Linked DNA regions of Canis lupus familiaris. The protein of the gene in region 3 interacts with the protein of the main gene of each other region in a pairwise test. Links are inferred from orthologs where the notes say so. Each region holds a gene or a part of one and is shown on either strand. Other genes may lie near its edges. The genes, in order: TBX15, DAB1 and VENTX.

Region 1 (3,647 bases), on a different chromosome or scaffold from region 3:
ATGAACCCAGTTTTGAATATCACCATCATCCACATTCTCCCACAAAGCCACTGGAAGTGATATGATGTTAGTAGCAAAGGAGGTCAGTTTTCTGGAGTTTGTCAATTGCCCTGCAGTTCTAAAGAGAGTTCTCTATGGATTTGTCACCTCCTTGCTTCTCACTAACAAAGAACCACACAGGATCTGGATGCTAGCAAACAGAGGCACTCAGTCCAAATCACAAGATCCTCTAAAATTGATTGGAAGCATCTCTTGTCCTAAGTCCTGCATCCAGATCACTTCTCTCTTAATCAGCTCTCTCCCTCTGCCATACTAGTGCTGGCATTTCCCATTCATTCATTCATTCATTCATTCATCTCTCCCCTCCTAATTCATAGAGCTAGCACCAAGTTCTCAAATATTTCAAGAATAAGACATGATTCACTGATCTGATTGAAATCTCAAGAGATTGGTTAAGCCACAACTTGTTTCAAATAAGACTGATGTATAACCCATCCAAGAGACATAGACATTGTGTTGGACACTTACTATAATGACTTTGAAGGAAAGTTATTTAACAACTCACTCACAACCCATATTGATAAGCAATAATTCTGCTTCACTAAGTGTCCTTCTTGAAATCTTACCCAATTCTCCTCTTCTTCCCTTCCATCATCCACAAGATAATCCATCAGTTATATGATTGAATATACTGCACTGGTCCACTTCTCCTCTGCCTCTCCAAAATAAATCATCTCAACTCACTTAGCATTTCATAAACCAAATCATTCAATGTGTTAATCACTTTCAATGTGAACTGAATTAACTTTAGACTTAATCCATAAAGTCTAAATCCATTGATTTTTGCAACCCTGACAGACACTATACAATCCCACTCTCTACAGAGATGGGGAGGGTTCCATACCAAATGATTACTAAGTCCTGATTTCCAACCATGAGTGACTACTTCCTACATGATGCTTTGCTACAAGCTATTGGTACTTCCTCCATCCTTGTTCCCTATATAGTATACGATACAGTGCATTGTTAAAATACTTCATCTAAGGAGTTTAAAGAACTGTCTTGGAATGATAATGGAATTACCTTGGAATGGTAATGTCCACAATTCCACATCCCAGAGTCATCATTACCTGTATCTTTTATTGTCCACAGGCACAATGTCCATTGCTATGTAATACTGCTGGTGTGGATCCAGGCCAGTGATTTTCACTCTCATGGCAGGAAACATCCTCCTATAAAGGGGAATAGGCAGTAAGCTCAACAATCACAGAGGGAGAAGGAGCAGGAGTAAAGGCTTGGAGAGCTTCTTCTTATGAAGAATGATAAGCAAACCAAAGTCCAGTTCCTCCAATTCTCAAAGTTGCCTGCTTTTTTACACTTTGGAAATTATTACTATAAAATATGCTGAGGACTCACTGAAATGGCACCTCTTCTTGCTGCTTTAAGGATCTTCTCTTTATCTTTGGAATTTGCAAGTTTCACTATTAAATGTCGAGGTGTTGAGCGGCTTTTATTGATTTGGGGGGGGGGTCTCTCTATTTCCTGAATCTAAATGCCTGTTTCCCTTCCCAAATTAGGAAAGTTCTCAGCTATGATTTGTTCAAATACATATTCTGGACCTCTGTCCCTTTCAGTGCCCTCGGGAACCCCAATTAACCTTAGATTTTTCCTTCTGAGGCTGTCATTTATTTCCCTTAACCTATCCTCATGATCTTTTAATTGTTTTTCTCTTTTTTCCTCAGTTTCCCTCCTTGCCATCAACTTGTCTTCTATATCACTCACTCGTTCTACCTCGTTAACCCTTGTCGTTAGGACCTCTAGTTTGGATTGCATCTCATTTAATTGATTTTTAATTTCTGCCTGATTGGATCTAAATTCTGCAGTCATGAAGTCTCTTGAATCCTTTATGCTTTTTCTAGAGCCACCAGTAGCTTTATAATTGTGCTTCTGAATTGGCTTTCTGACATTAAATTGTAATCCAAATTTTGTAACTCTGTGGGAGAGAGGACTGTTTCTGATTCTTTCTTTTGAGGTGAGTTTTTCCTTCTAGTCATTTTGCTCAGTGCAGAGTGGAAATGGCACCTCTTCTTAACTTAAATTGACCTACTTGATGACTCACACACTTCCAAGAGCTCCTACCATGCCCTGATTTATATTATTAACCTTTAATGTGATTAGATTGATAATGTATGTGTATTTATACATACATTTCCTATCAGATTATAATATTCTTGAAAATGCTTACACTCTTACACTTAACATATTTGAGTAACTTATGTTCTTATGACTCAAGTAGCTTATCACAGTTGATTGTAGGTGATGATGAAATATTTTTGATTGGTTGAGTCTATTTAAAAGTAGTCTCTCAAGAAAAGAAGAAAAAAGGAAGAGACTATCAATCTCCAAAGTACCAACAAAGTTGCAGGGTTTTTTAAGCATAAAACTGTAGAAAAATTTCTGCAAGTTCTCAGGCTGTCAACATATGTGTCAGAAGAGGACCCTGTGGAATAAGGAGCGAATACCAAATGAATTCTAGTGGCCTCTGGGCAATACCTTGTTTCTACCACAATGGCTTGTTAAACTTGCCAAAGCAAGCGAGGTCAGGATACGGCACTTTACAACTACTCTCATAATTGAAGAGGAGGAGAGAGAGCAACCCAGAAGAGTATTGAGTTTCAAGGGTCTAGAATAAAATTCTCCATTTTTCTTTAACCATAAAAAAGTAGAAAAACATCAAGCTCTTTTGTATGTCATTCATTTTGGAGTCAGACATAAAAAGTGCTCAGTTCAAAAATTTGGATTGCATGAATGTGTTCTAGGGTACTTGTACACAAAATGCTGCATTAAGCTTAACCATCTGGGGCCAGTTAGTTGAGCTGGGCAGGGCACAGTGCTAATGAGGTCAAGGTCACAGGCTTGATCCACATACAGCCTAATTGGCTTTGCTCCATTTCACGGCCATAGACCATACTCTGACCCCAGACAGCCATCTTGCATATGTGCCCTAGTTGTTTACACATGGGGCTTTCTGTGCTAGTCACACACTGCATTGCTCACTGGAAGCAACTCAACATGCAAATGTCCTGTGGTAGTAGGTTAGTGGCATAATCATATCCAGGTGGCGAGTGGGGGGGAACACAAAAACTTAATGGGAATGATGGCTAATTCTTAAATATTACCAAATAATAATATACAACCATTCCTTCTTTCCTACTTTATAACTTCTCAGAAGCTTCTATTGGTATATAATTCTGGATATTCTACCTCTAGCCTCACAAGTTTAATTACAAAGCCTTATATTTTTGTCTTATGGTGAGATAATGAAATTCAATGGTGGATTTCTCATAATGATTAAATCTAGCATTCACTATAGGTTAGGCACTAGAATCCACATTAATTCTTTCCAAAAACTTGGGAACATTGGTCTATATATATTTACATTTAAACCAGTAATTCCTTTCTTAATAACAATGACTTATGACTGCCTTGTATTTATAAATGGTTGGAGAATACCTTAACAGGGATAGAGAGAAAGTCCTCTCACTTGCTATCTGAGGTAATAAAATGTGGTTCCTCTCAGCTATCTACATAGGATGTGTTACACTGCAAGAGATGAATTTCTTTCCTTCATGATTCCAAGAAAAAAG
Region 2 (3,647 bases), on a different chromosome or scaffold from region 3:
CAGCACCACGGAATAGGAGTGTTGGGATTTAATACAGCTCTGTCTACACTGTCGGGCCAGCTGTGAGGTCTATGTCAATTTGACGTAGATTTTTGTTCCAACTGATGAAAAAACTCCACTCAAAACATTCTGAAGGTGATGCTCATGGATAGAAGGATATAATTACTGTTTTTACTCATTTTCTTTACAATAGAACATTATTTTTTTTAATTTAAAAGGAAGTCTGTTTTATGAGATGATTATGGAACAGACTAGTTCTAGCAGGTTTAAGTGAGAACACCCTGATTTCCAACAGCTAATGAATAAATGTTGGCGTAACTGGATTCCAAATTGTGTTTGAAGTGGCTTATTGCTTACTAGAGGCCGAGAACACAGGCTGAGGTGCCAGTCTGAGAGGTGTACCGGTCCTACTTATCAGATGAAGTCATTTGGAAGCATAATTAGAGGTTCATTTATGTAAGTGTCTTAGCCTTTAGAAGGCTCTTCTAGAATACCTGAATAATCTAAAAGAGTGGTTCTTTAATGGTGCAATTTAAATCCTAGGAGACATTTCACAGTATCTTGGGTCATTTCTTTTTTTTTTTTCTTTTTTTCTTGGGTCATTTCTGACTATAAAGACTCAGGGGACAGGACATGTATTTCTGGCATCTAGTGGGTGGAGGCAGGGATGCTGCTCATCATCCTATAAGCACAACACACACCCCACAACAAAGAATTATCTGGCCCCAAATATCAATAAAGCCCAGGTTGTAAAACACAGCCACAGCTGAATGGCCTTTGTTCTGTTCATTTCAATCTCTACGATTTTTCCCAAATGTCTCCCACACGCTAGATGCTATGCTAGCATTAGAAGAAGTAGACGGGTGATTAGGACATATGTCCTGTCCTCAAAGAACTGAAACTTCCCTTTTATTTATAGCTGGCATGCAAGTCCATTGAAAGAGAGACACTTGCTTTCAAAAGATGCTTGCTTATTTATGCATGGCTCTCATTCCCCCAGCATTTCATTTTTTATTCATTATTTTTCACTGAAACCCTGTGACGTGGAGCTAATAGAGATGCCCTCATATGGAGATCACATGGCCTGAGTAGAAGTAGGTTGTTTATACACATAAAAGGCATTCATTTTCATAACTGCCTTCTGAACCTGGATGAAATAACACCACCTAATTGTGTTAACATTAGATTTTTTGACAATTCTCACTATTGGCCAAGCAGTGATCCCTATCATCTGTGACAGTAATGAAAACGCCAAACTCATTGTTCCATGAGACTTTTGCTTTTCCCTATCAATTGTCAAAGGCATGGGCTGAATTACCAGTCACTTTTCTGAGCATATGTGTGCTCAAGTGTATCTAGATTCTGATTGGCTGCATGGTCATGGCTTTTTGGATGCTTACAGTAGAAAAGTGATCTGGAAAGAATCACTGAGTGCCTGAACTAGAAGGAAGTACACTCCTCATCATCCAAGCCAACTCAATGCATTTCACCCATGACACAGCTGGGGTTAAGAAAGTCACACACATGGCCAAAGACACAGCTTGTGGTAGAAGAGCAAAGGTTGGAACTCTGGTCCAGGGATTTGACACAGAACTATTCAATATGCATTCATAATGGTGACAAAAATACCTTAAAATTTGTGATGTATACAATGTTTCAGTACATGTACCACTGATCCTTGTAATCTCTCTTAGGCTAAGATAGATGAGGAAATTGAGGCTCACAAAAATGACTTGCCGATAGGCACAAAACTAGGAAGTGATAAATCTGCTCTCTAGGTTCCCAGTCTAGAGATTTCTGCTTCACTACCATTTTTTTCTCTTTGACGACCCAAAGCCCTGAGCCAAAATCTGGCTTCAACTAAACCAGCTGGATGAGATCTTATGGCTGCTCTTTCTTTCCCGTAAGTTTTCTCTTGATTTTAGTTTTCTACTCTAATTTTTGTCCTTATTTCCCAGACTTTTAAAATTCATATTCACTATTCATTTCCATTTCAACAAGCCGTACCAAAATCTGTGTCATAAGGAGGGATAATGAATGAATGGATGGATAGATGAGCAGATCAACAAAAACATTAGAAGCAGAGTGACTGGTAGGAAAATAACTACTCTCGTTGTCCTTGAACCTCACTCTCATTATTGGTCAGACAGGTCTAACAAAACCTGTAATAAGCATTGTTATGAGTATAAAAGTATGAAAACAATGGTTACGAGGTAGATATGTATAATTGGCACCTCATAACTGGTAGCTATTATTAGTAGTAGTCATATAAACCAAGATGCCTGCTGAATGTGAACTGAGATGAGTTCTGTGACTCCAGAAACAAGGCATCGCTCTCATTGGAGTTAGGTCTCCCAAGAAGGGCACTCACGTGAGTTGGTTGATGGTGTGGTAGAAGTCACAGGGGTCAAATTCAACTGGGAGATGTCAAAGTCGTCACAGTCATCTGTATCCTGTGCCACCCCGACTTTGTTGAAGTAACTGGAGAAGGCCTCTGAGGTACAGGTGAGGGAGGGTTGGTCGGGTTTGCGGGAGGGCACGGGTGGCGGCTGGGCCATCTGGAAATCCTTAAACATTTCTTTCCCCATTTTCTGTCTGGGCTTCTCGGTCTGTGGACTTGACCTGGTGGAGTCACCCGTGGTTGGGACGGTTGCAAGGGGGGTGAGGGGACCTTGGAACATGGCGGCTGGCAAAGGCATAACAGTTTGTGTGGGCATGAAGGCGGCTGGCGGAAACTGCCCGGCTACAGTTGGCCAGGGCTGCTGAGTGGCAGGGAAGAGACCCGGCTGGCCCCATGCGATGGGCTGAGCCCCCGGCATCACCTGAGCGACTGGTGGCTGAGCACCCATGGCGATCTGCTGTTGGACGAGGGGCTGCTGGCCCCAGAAGGATGGGAGGACGGCGCCCATTGCAACATAACCTGGAAGGGTGAGAAAGATGAGTCATGTACCCTGGGAAAGAATAATTCATGGATTCAGGTGATCGGCAGAAAGATACTGAGCAGTTGTTACGTTCCAGGCTCTGTGCTAGAGACCCGGGCCACAAAGATGAGTAAGATGAAAGTTCTGGCTTTCAATGGAGTGTTCCTTCCAGAGCCACGGTCTGGAGAAACCTAAGAAGGGGACTCATAAGCAAAACTAGAATGCAGTGAGCGAGCAAGCCGGGCAGGTGTTTGGGAGATAATGATAATATTGCTATAATTAAAGGTTTCTGACTCCACACAGCCTCAGGCGCTGGTGTGTCTCAGTGGAAAAGGTAGAGTACTAGACATCGGGTACATTTGGGTTTGAATCTTGCCTCCCCTTCTGGCTAGACCAAACACTTAAACTTTCTAAACCTCAAGCTCTTGGTTAGAAAGCCAGGTTATAAGATCTTCCTTTTCAGCATGGAAAACATGTGCTGAGGGAAGAAGAATCAGAGTATCGGGGATGTTGAGGTCTAGGTTAAAATTTGGAGTTCTTCTGCTTCTTATCTACGGAGTTTAGGGAGAGCTCCACAAGCTCTCTCGGGCTCTCTCTCCTCATCTGTGAAATGGGCAAAAAATACTGTCTGCCTCATGGGCTTGGTTTAAAGATAAATGGAGATGACGTTTTTGAGGTGGACTACTGCACCTGACACCAAGTATGCATTCAATAAATGTTAGCAAT
Region 3 (4,224 bases):
GGGCTGTCACGCGTCCTCAGAAGGCATCCCCGGTCTGGGGCAGGGCACACAGGCCCCGGGGCACCCCGGACAAGGCCAAGGCCGGGCCCAGCTCCTGGCCCCCCGGGTCCGGGAGGCAGCACGTGGGAGGCTGTCTGCTGCACGAGGCCCACGCCAAGGCCACGGAGGCTCGATCCACCCGGCAGAGATCCCAGAAGGGGCCAGGGGGCTGCCCCAGAGCTGGAGGCCCCAGTGGGGGCGCCCAAGGACACAGCAGCCGCAGTGGCCTGCGCAGGGCAGGGGGCGGAGGGCAGAAGGTCACTGGAGGGTGGAGCCCCCCGGGGAAGGGGCTGCTCAGCTGCGAGTCCTGCAGTTGGCGTTTGTGTTTCATCCGGCGATTCTGAAACCAGGTTTTTATCTGCGGGGAAACCTCCATCAGAGCAGGGACGGGAACAGCTGCCCCCCACCAGGCCCGGCCCCCCTCACCTGCACCCCCGGAGAGCCTGGCCTGCACCCCCAAAAGCCTCACCTGCACCCCCGAGAACCTCACCTGCAGCCCCGAGAGCCTCGCCTGCACCCCTGAGCCTCACCTGTAACCCCCGAGAGCCTCGCCTGCAGCCCCAAGCCTTGCTTGCACCCCAAGAACCTTGCCTGCACCCCAAGAAACTCACCTGCACCCCTGGAGAGCCTCGCCTGCAGCCCCGAACCTCACCTGCAGCCCTGAACTTCACCTGCACCTCCAAGAGCCTCACCTGCAGCCCTGAGAGCCTCACCTGCACCCCTGAGCCTCACCTGCACCCCTGAGCCTCGCCTGCAGCCTGAGAGACTTGCCTACAACCCCGAGCCTCACCTGCCGCCCGGAGCCTCACCTCCAGCTCCGAGAGCCTCGCCTGCAGCCCCGAGAGCCTCACCTGCACCCCCAAACCTCGCCTGCAGCCCCGAGAGGCTCACCTGCACCTCAGAGAGCCGCATGTCACGGGCCAGGCGCCGGCGCTCCAGGGGGCCCAGGTAGCGGCGCCGCCGGAAGGCGCTCTCCAGGGTGCTGAGCTGCTCTGCGGTGAAGGCCGTGCGCACGCGGGGCACCCGCAGGCCGTCCCCGTCCCTGCCCCACCCTGAGGGAGGACGGAAACGCCATCAAACGCCATCAAACGCCATCAGCCCAGCCGTCGGCCCACGCGGGATAGAGGGGCCTCAGCACCCAGTGCGTCAGGGCGCAGGCCCCTCCTCTGCCGGCTGGAGTGTGGGCTGGGGTCAGGGCGAGGAGGGCGCCTGGCGAACAGCTCTGCAGCCCCCCAGCAGTTTCGCCCAGGACGGCGGTGCCCCCAGGCTGCCCGCCCCCAACGTGAAGCTCTGGCAAGTCTGCGTCTAGTCCTTTTTTATTGATTTAAGATTTCCTTCCCTTGGGGCGTCCGGCAGACTCCCTGCTGAGCTTGGAGCCCGACCCCGGGATCAGGATCTGGGCCGAAACCAAGAGTCAGACACTCAAGCAGTGTCCCCCGGCGCCCGTGTGTCCGCCGGGAGGCGGCGGGAGGCGCGAGCGCTGGTGTGCGGAGCTCGGCTACCTGGTCGGGCCTCACCCAAATGCCAACGGGCTCTAGTGCTGGTGTGGGGGGAGCAGAGCTTACCAATGACTTTAACACTTCCCTGGAAGCAGGCAGGGGACCAGAGGAGCGACCCTTGCTTCGGAGGGGGCGGGGGCAGGGTGTAAGGGGTCGGGGCGCAGGGATGACTGGCTGGGTTTTGTTGGGGAGGGGGCACTGGTTGCAGAGAATAAACGTAGAATTTAACTTCATTGAAGTATAGCATTTTCCCCTAAGATCAAACTCGTTCAAAAATGAACTTAACAGGGGCGCCTGCCTTTGGCTCAGATCGCGATCCCGGAATTGGGATCGAGATCGCATCGGGCTCCCTGCATGGAGCCTGCTTCTCCCTCTGCCTGTCTCTCATGAATAAATAAATAAATCTTAAAAAAAATGAATTTAACAGATAACATCAATCCCACTTTTGATCACATAGGGCTTTTTTTTTTTTTTTTTTTAAGATCCTATCCATCTGTTCACGAGAGACACAGAGAGAGAGACAGAGGCAGAGGCACAGGCAGAGGGAGAAGCAGGCTCCATGAGGGGAGCCTGACGTGGGACCCGATCCCGGGACTTTAGGATCACACCCTGGGCCGAAGGCGGCGCCAAACCCCTGAGCCACCCGGGCTGCCCTGACCACGCAGGGCTTTAAACCTAAAAGCAATGATTACGTCACAAAGACCGAGAAACGCTCCGCAGTGAACGGCAAGGGGTCAGGGGGACGCCCTGCAGCCGAGGCCCGGAGCTCCCAGGTGCAGACAGCAGGGCGCCCCGAGCCACCCCGCAGGGCCGCCGGTGCACCGCCAACGGGCCGGAGTCCCGAGGCCTGGGCGCCCAGTGGGCGGGCTCTGTGAGCTTCAGGACGTGCGTGTCCAGCCCCGACGGCCGACCGCACGCCGGAAGCCCGGGTCCCCCACGGTGCGAAATGACCGTGTCACGGCTCAGGGCCACACGCCAGCCCTTCCAGGACGTGGGGGTGGGGAGCCCCAGGGGGCCTAAAGACAGGAGACCCCGCCCCCGTGGCTTTGTAGTCCAGGCCTCCCCCCAACCCTCCCGGCTCCCATCTGCGAAGGGAGGCACCCCCCGCCCCAGCCTTACCAGCCGTGGGCGTCCGGGGCGCACACGCTTCTGAAGACTTGGCCTCCTCCACGCCCGCACCGTGCAGGGGCTCCCCGCTGCTGCACCCCCTGGCGGGAGCGGAGGGACCCCCCCGAGGGGCTTCAGCGGGCCTGGAGGGCGGTGACGGCCCCCCGCGGCTGCTCTGGGAAAGCCAGTCCACCGAGCCGAAGCTGGACGGCCCGCGGCCGCTGGGCAGGGGAGGGGACGGAGACATGGCTGCTCACAGGACAGAGGGGGTGACGCACAGGGTCCCCGCAGCACCGACGGCGGCTAAGGCACCAGGTCGTCCGCCGCCTTAGCGTTTATAAGCTCCGGAGGAGGCGGGTGGGAGGCCGGCCTGCGTAGCCGCTCAGAGCCTCGCCCACCCCCAGATAAGTAGCACCTAATTGCCTTCGATTCAGAGGCACAAAGGAGGCCATTCACACCTCCCCCGGCTCCGAGATGTCTGCGGCGGGGCGGGGCTGAGCCCGGGCGGAGGCTGGTCACGTCCTTTCATCCCCCACCCCCACCGGGTGGCCCCTCCCAGCTGAGCACCCAAGCTGGAGGCTTGTCCTTCGGGGTGAGGAGCCGCCTCCTCTCCAGCCCGCGGGGTCTGCGGTGCCGAAGGCGGCAGGTGTGCCCACCTGAGGGAGGGCATGCTTCCCGGAGGGGGAGCAGCATCACCGGCGGGGGTGGGGGCTCCCAGAGCAGGTGCCGCTGCCTCAGGCTGTCCGGCGGGGGGAGGAACGTAGGGCAGGGTGGGTGCTGCTGCCCGGGGAGCACCCACCGGCCCTTCCCTCTCAGACGGTACTCGGCGCCCCCACCCCCGCCTCCACTCTGCAGTGGCAGGAAGGAGGGGTGTCTGCCCTCAGGAGTGCGGCCCCGCCCTGCTGCTCCCGGACGACCCAGCGGGAGGGATGGAGCAGCCCGGTGCTGCCGAGAAGGGCCGCCCCACTGCCCAGCGGGGCCCAGAGCCGCCAGGGACGCGGCAGCCCGGGTTCAAGGCCTGTCCTCTCTCCGGGGACCCAGCCCCCTCCCACCTCCGCTGCTCGCCACCACCACTTTCTGCAGGACGGGACCGAGGGCCAGCGCCTTCGGCGTCCAGGGTGACCTGGGGCAGCCCGGAGCCCCCACCCCCCCACGCCCGCCCCCTGGGTGTGGTGGCCCTAGCCCACCGGCCGACTCCTGGGGGCGCTGGCGCCAGCCTGGGCGGGACCGTGGGATCAAAGGCCCCTCCGGCTGGGCCCGGATTAACACCCCCGGCCGCCCTCCGGCGGGCACAGCGGGAACGGCGGCGCTGACCCCGCCGGGAAGGGTCAGGGGGCCTGACGCCTCCGAGTCAGCGCAGTGGTCCGCCGGTGGCCGCGTCCCGGGCGGCGGTGCTGGCCTGGACCTGGACGGAGAGGCCCCTGCTCTCGGACGCCGTCCTGCCCCTGGGGACCGAGGCCCAGCTGGTGGGGGCTGCGCGGCTCTCGGACCGGGGATGGGGTCAGCACTGCGGACCCCCCGTCCTGTGCGCGGCTCCAGGGGCGCCCTCCCGGTGGACACGACAGGTGCCGGGACTCTG

Evidence for each region.
Region 1: the proteins of VENTX (region 3) and TBX15 interact in binary tests that used the Homo sapiens proteins (3 or more experiments, as listed by UniProt). The two-hybrid records come from large-scale screens. The link is inferred for Canis lupus familiaris from reciprocal best matches to the Homo sapiens genes VENTX and TBX15.
Region 2: the proteins of VENTX (region 3) and DAB1 interact in binary tests that used the Homo sapiens proteins (3 or more experiments, as listed by UniProt). The two-hybrid records come from large-scale screens. The link is inferred for Canis lupus familiaris from reciprocal best matches to the Homo sapiens genes VENTX and DAB1.

What each region holds. Positions count from the first base shown.
Region 1 is NC_049238.1:56,654,888-56,658,534, forward strand, and holds part of TBX15 (T-box transcription factor TBX15), read right to left. Parts: intron 1,233-3,647; coding exon 1,131-1,232; intron 1-1,130. UniProt on the Homo sapiens protein: Probable transcriptional regulator involved in the development of the skeleton of the limb, vertebral column and head. Acts by controlling the number of mesenchymal precursor cells and chondrocytes.
Region 2 is NC_049226.1:52,848,185-52,851,831, reverse strand, and holds part of DAB1 (disabled homolog 1), read right to left. Parts: intron 2,921-3,647; coding exon 2,372-2,920; intron 1-2,371. UniProt on the Homo sapiens protein: Signaling adapter of the reelin-mediated signaling pathway, which regulates the migration and differentiation of postmitotic neurons during brain development.
Region 3 is NC_049249.1:41,347,782-41,352,005, reverse strand, and holds the start of VENTX (homeobox protein VENTX), read right to left. Parts: upstream 2,893-4,224; coding exon 2,658-2,892; intron 1,092-2,657; coding exon 931-1,091; intron 398-930; coding exon 17-397; 3' UTR 1-16. UniProt on the Homo sapiens protein: May be involved in ventralization.